Xenopus tropicalis: one gene and its partner. The main gene of each other region encodes a partner of the protein of the gene in region 2 in a complex. Links are inferred from orthologs where the notes say so. Each region holds a gene or a part of one and is shown on either strand. Other genes may lie near its edges.

What was found.
Region 1: the proteins of snap29 (region 2) and vamp8 are in contact, whole or in part, in a crystal structure (PDB 4WY4), measured with the Homo sapiens proteins. The link is inferred for Xenopus tropicalis from reciprocal best matches to the Homo sapiens genes SNAP29 and VAMP8. Residues at the interface, in NP_004773.1 of Homo sapiens: Leu206, Leu209, Ser210, Leu213, Leu216, Lys217, Ala220, Leu221, Met223, Gln224, Ile227, Glu228, Gln230, Asp231, Leu234, Leu237, Thr238, Val241, Asp242, Leu244, Asp245, Ile248, Lys249, Thr251, Glu252, Val255, Arg256, Leu258; in NP_003752.2 of Homo sapiens: Leu16, Glu19, Val20, Val23, Ile26, Met27, Gln29, Asn30, Arg33, Ile34, Arg37, Asn40, Leu41, Leu44, Lys47, Thr48, Asp50, Leu51, Thr54, Ser55, His57, Phe58, Thr61, Ser62, Val65, Lys68, Phe69.

The regions. Positions count from the first base shown.
Region 1 is NC_030679.2:125,658,369-125,662,202, reverse strand, and holds the end of vamp8 (vesicle-associated membrane protein 8), read right to left. Parts: intron 1,423-3,834; coding exon 1,258-1,422; intron 1,108-1,257; coding exon 964-1,107; 3' UTR 545-963; downstream 1-544. UniProt on the Homo sapiens protein: SNAREs, soluble N-ethylmaleimide-sensitive factor-attachment protein receptors, are essential proteins for fusion of cellular membranes.
Region 2 is NC_030677.2:153,633,050-153,635,560, forward strand, and holds the end of snap29 (synaptosomal-associated protein 29), read right to left. Parts: intron 1,511-2,511; coding exon 1,350-1,510; 3' UTR 715-1,349; downstream 1-714. UniProt on the Homo sapiens protein: SNAREs, soluble N-ethylmaleimide-sensitive factor-attachment protein receptors, are essential proteins for fusion of cellular membranes.

The DNA of each region.
Region 1 (3,834 bases), on a different chromosome or scaffold from region 2:
ATTATCACTGTCTACATCATATTAAAAGTTAATTTGAAGATGAACAACCAAGATAAATATGGCACCCACATTCACTTCTTCTCTGAATACATACAGATTTACCCAAGTTATTTAGGAAAGATTCCAATGTACGGAAAAAGAATTTACCGAGCCTCAAATGACTACTACGAGCAAGTAATAATAACAACATATTAAGACTCTAGAACCCAACTGATAATAAGAGAATGCATATTATAGCTAGTTAGATACAATCTACCCTTATATACAAAAGAGACATGTCCCCTACAGTGGCATTATAGATAAACTGTTAATTCAGATTTCCCAGAAATTTCTGCAAACAAATTCAAACAGAAGCAACTCTAAGTAGCCGAGAGGGGTTGATCAACAATGTGTACACCAGTGAATGAGCAGGATTCCCATATCAGATTATACACTGGGTGGCAGCAATGTATCATTTGGGGCTTAAACTAATGAATAAAGGCAAGAATGCAAAACATGCATGGGTTTAAAAAAAAATAATTGGTGAAAGTGTAGAAGTGGTAGATATTACACTTTTATCTAGTCCATAACGGTAATGGTGTACAATGGTAATGGTGTACAATGAGTACAAGAACTTAACCAAAAACATATCACCGGAAACAAAGTGGGAAATGGGCTGCAAGTAGGAATGAAATAATATACCTAGATATTTTTATTTGCCATATTGAGAATCAAACCTTTATGTGTAGGAAGAAAATATACACTCATTTGGTATGCAGACCCCACTGGATCTAGGTGTGACCTGAAACAGGCCAACACATAAGGAGAAAATGAATGTAGCCAATCAGAGGCATCCAAAGTATAACAACACAAGTCTGATTGGCCTCTCTCCATTGGCTTGAGGAGAGCTCATCAGGCAGGAGTAAGTGAAAGGTAATCATGAGTCCTCATTGGCAGAGCAGCCTGGTTGGCGAGTGACAATCTTTATGTGGGGATGACTCCAGTGGCGAGGAGGATGATGAGGAGTACAATAATTCCAACCACCACGCAGATTATGGCAATCATCTTTGCGTTTTTCCACCAGTACTTGCGGGCAACCTTCTGGGAAGTGGTCTTGAAGTGTTCAGACTGGGTGAAAGGAACAGACAAAACAAGGTGAGGCAGTGATAGAGCGAGTACAGAGAAGGATGATGGGCAGAATAACAGTGTAGGTAGTGGAGAACTAAGATGGGGCTGGAGAGGGATTTAGATGGGATGCCTATGGCTATGGGCACTTACGCTAGCTTCCAGGTCTTCTGTTTTGTTCCTTAGATGATCCAGATTCTCTCCCCGTGCCAGAATTCGCTCCACATTTTGGGACATGATTCCCTTTACGTCGTCCACCTGACTCTGGAGATCCCTCACGCGTTCAGGGGCCGCTGGGGCATTTGCCCCTCCCATATCCTGCCAAAGTAATCAATAATGAAATAGGGGCAGAAATCTGCAAAGACCCAGGATACAGAATCACACATGCTGCCACTCTTTTACAGTTAATAGGCAAAAAATAATCAGTAGAATTTGTTTTCCCTATAATGCTGTAAGAGCTGTGGCACATGTATGGTTAAGGTCAGCCATACAATTCCACAGAAATGGGATACCCTGCAAGAAGCTGGCCAGACATAAGATCCGCTTGTTTCTTTCCCCGATATGCCCACCTGTGTTTCTTTTGATAGAGGACTCAGAGCAGCATTACTATAAGTGATATGGCTGTATTTACGTAGACCTTTCTGATAAAGGTTTCTTTAAAAATCCTGATTAAGTTTTTACCTTTCTTTCTCCTTTAGGGCTCTGGCACACGGGGAGATTAGTCGCCCGCGACAAAACTCCCTGTTCGCGGGCGACTAATCTCCCCGGATTGCCATCCCACCGGCAAAAATGTAAATCGCCAGTGGGATGGCAAACGCAGCGGCACGATTTCAGTGAAATCGCGCAAGTTGCCTCGAGAGGAAACTTGCGCGATTAAATCGCGCCGCCGCGTATGCCATCCCAGCGGCGATTTACATTTTCGCCGGTGGGATGGCATTTCGGGGAGATTAGTCACCCGAGACACAGGAGATTTGTCGTGGGCGACTAATCTCCCCGTGTGCCAGAGCCCTTAACATTAAACTAAGCTTTATATTCTGCAGCCTCTCCACTTTAGCATTTTAGCCGCTACCTGCTTGCTAGGGCCTAATTTACCCTAGCAACCAGACAGTGGCTTGAATAAAAGAGCGTAAAATAAATTGGAGAGGGCCAGAACAGAATGATAAGTTATAAAGTAACAATAACAATTGTATAACAATACTAGTTTAACCTCACAGAGCAATAGTTTTTTTGGCGCCGGGTTCTGTGACCGGTAGATTGGATTTTTAACTGTAGCTGAACAGAAAGAAGTAAAGAAGCTAAGACATTTGGATGACCGTGGATGGGATTTTCTTTTTTGTTAAAGTATGTGCACATAATGTCAATGCTGAGAAGGGGAACTCTGAATTACATCAAGCACTATGGCGAAAATGTTTCATCCTGGAAGTGACACCAATACACATGCTTACAGACTGGCCTAAAGCCTGCTTAACGCTCACTCAGCATACACACTATCTCCACTGACTCCACTGATTCTAACACACGTATGTGCAGTAAGCATTTGCTTAAAACGGGACAGGAGCCCGGGGGCCATTTCTGGCACAAAACAAGAATAGGAAGCCAGCTTCACTTTGGCACTTCCTGAGGCTTTCTGATCCCAATGAACTTCAAAAGGAGTTGATAAAACTAATTACCAGCCCACTGAAAAGCCCTGCATAATAAGCTGTTTTAAAGGCTGCTGCTTAGAGAAGGGAAGGATTTGTTTGCTCAAAAGTAGTTAGGAAGATCTAAACAAACTGCCCTGTTTATAAAGCAAGTGAGGGTAAGTTCAATGAAAATTTGTTTTTATATTGGCAAAAAATACAGATTTTTTAAATTAAAAAACACGCAGAATTTTTTTTAAACACAACTTGGTTTTTGGTGTATACGCTCCCCAGTCCCAATAAACTTAAAGGACCATTGTTTTTTTTTCAATCCAAATTAAATATGTAAGTATAAATAAAACTTTAAGGTGAATCAGCCCTTTAAATTGGCTTGGTGTGCTGTAACAACTCCCTGCCAAGAGCTCCGAGCATCCAACCCCACAAACCGCTGTGACTTCCTGATCACTGCATGGCCGGTATTTCCCATGAGATATATCCTCAAACCTTCGCCACACATACCAAACCTTCCATAGCTCAGATGCTAATGCATTGCTAATGCCAATGCTATTTACTGTGACCTCATCAAAACAGAACGCCTTTATTTCTTTGTCCTTTATCCACCACGGCAGACTTTGTTGCTCCAACATATCATTATAGTTTGCAACTAAACAATTCTAGCGCTGCCATTTAGGCTGGTGGCACATGAAAAATTCTCTACCAGGTAAGAAGAAGATTCTGCCACCTCCAATTCACTTCTTTGAGAAATGCATGACAACATTAGTACACAGAATTTTTGGGCCCAAAGACGCACAGAAGCGCTAGCACCACAGACGTCATACACTCTATAACAACAGGGATCCCCAACCTTTTTTACCCCTGAGCCACATTCAAATGTAAAAAGATTTGGGGAGCAACACAAGAATGGAAAATGTACCCGGTAGTGCCAAATAAGGACTGTGATTGGTTATTTGGTAGCCCCTATGTGGACTGTCAGCCTACAGGAGGCTCTGTTTGGCAGTACACCTGTTCTTTACCCAACCAAAACTTGCCCCAAGCCAGAAATTTAAAAATAAGCCCCTGATTTAGGGTTACTGGGAGCAAGATGTTTCTC
Region 2 (2,511 bases):
TACACTCGGCCTACAAGATAGTTCTCTATGGAAACTCTTGGAGGAACCTAAGTCAAGTGTATACACTGTGTAGGGATGTTCCAATTTATCACTACATGTTATTGTTTATGATGAAAACAATTATAAAAATTAGTTAAATATAGCAATGATATAGGACATGCAACCCTGCATCAAGTAGCCAAATAATCTTTTATATTTATCAATATATTATGTCTAGGTAAAAATGCTGCTGTACAAGATTATTGTGCTACTTCTCAGTCTAGTATGCAAAGTGGCCTTTTTAAACACGCCCTCAAACATATATGCATTTGACAGTGAAACACAGGCTCAGATGTTATCATAGCTTGTACTGCTTAAAGATATACAGTATATATGTTAATGTACAGCTACTAAAAAGCTAGGCACATTTGCCTTCAACAGCTGCTATAAATTCTTTACCACTGATTTTATCTGAAGCACATGTGCCCCGTTTTGATTATGATTACAACTTTGTAATTGATAGTTACAAGGGTGCATGGTGTTATTGCTCATGTAATATTTTACACAGCTTTAAAATATGCCCAAGTGTGCTAATAATACAAAAGGGGAAATAAGGATTACTATGTCCAAAACATTTAATAAGTATAAGGGAGTATGAATAAATTATCTGAAATGTCAGGCAGAGAAACAAGTCTACAGACTCAAATTTGTCTAAAGAAGACAAATGGCACAAAATCAGAAAGCAAATAATATATTAAACAAGTTAGTTAAAATAATAACAGGCAAGATTATTAGGCTTTTTTTTTTAACTTAACAAGTAAACTGATAAAATATTCACAGTATGGTTTACGGGAGTGTCACATAAATTTATAAACATATTTATACACAAAGTTTCAGAACACTAGATTAAAATAATAAGGGTAATAAGAAAGTGGCATATGGCAGGGCCCATTAAACCCTATGTTACGAGCATGTGTAAAATATTGCAGTTTTAATAAAGGCATGTTCATATGTCTATTCTGTCATATAGCAGTAAGGTAATACCTAGCAAATGAACTCAAATACTTTATTCAGATCCAGAGCTATAACAAACTGCCAATCACTACAATACAATTCCAATAGTAAGACAATTCATTTTTATATCTTAATAAGGATCTATATTAGTAATAATACTGCAAAACATCATCTACATTTAATGCTAACGAATGTAATGTATAGTTATACAGAAGATATAAGATTCAGATAGGGATGTGTGGGATATTTATGTCCCAGTATAAAAAAAAACAAAAAAAAAAAAAACTGCATAACATTATAAAAACCACAAGAATAAAACTCAAGAGTCGGTCTTGGTCAAGTCTGAAATTTGTCTTTTATAGCTCTTCGCGAATCCGCTTGTCTGTAGTCTTGATGTTTAAGTCCATCTTATCTACTTTGCCAGTTAGGCGCCCAAGCATCTCATCCTGGTCATCGATTTCTGTCTGAAGTCCTAGTGCAAGGTTTTTCAGGCGACCCAAACCTAAAGACATGTCATCTGGAAGAAAGGAATAACACAACCTTAGGATTAGTATTATTATTTTTAAAATGCAGCAATATTAGTAGGTATGGAAAAAAAAAATACGGTGTATGGGTTACACCTTGTCATTTAGCTTTAACCAGGTCATCTATAAATGGTAGCCTTGATGCCTAGAATCAGTCATTAAAATCTGTTGGGAGCCTATTTCTTTCCCAATAGATTCTTAATGTGATTAGTTGGTTGGTAATTAGAGTCGCAATCCTCCAAACTGTTTATGAAAGATATGCCAAAACAGGAAGTATTTGTTAAGAGATACTGACACCAGAAATGAAATTATTTTTACATCTGTCATAACATTGTCTTTGCATGCTATTTATAATTTTGCCATAAAAGTATTTGTCCAAGCTTTTACATTCCCTATCTGATCCCCCATGTTCCTCTATGAGGGGGCGGCCATATTTGTCCAGCAGGAGGCCGTTAGCATTAGAAGCTATAACTGACAGGCTGAGAAGGGACAGTCAGGCTGGCAAAACAGTCAGGTTTTGGGATTTCAAGTAACAATTACTTACAAAAGCAGCCCTATCAGTAAAAAATGATCAACACGACCTATAGGCAACTTTTTATGTAGATTTATATTTTAAAAAGTTTTTTTTTCGTGTCAGTATCACTTTAGCAGTCATAATGGTTTTGTAGACAGGCCAAAGGGGTATTTGAAGAGCAGCTCTCTTATTATTTCACTCCCAGTCTTATACCACACAAATCCTTTCAGTGTTATTATGTAAAAAGACACTGGGTTACCCCATTAGGGCAAAGGCACACATTTCAGTAATTTAAAAAGCAATTGTAATACTGATAATAGTAAATGTAGGATTGGTAGTTAATGATCCTCAGAGCCTATAGTAATCCAGATGCCAAAGCATGCAATACCATATTTAAATTGCCAGATGTGTGAAAGGTCCACCTACCTTTACAACTTGACAGCAAAGAATTTTAATGGAATATCATGGCCAGACAGACCA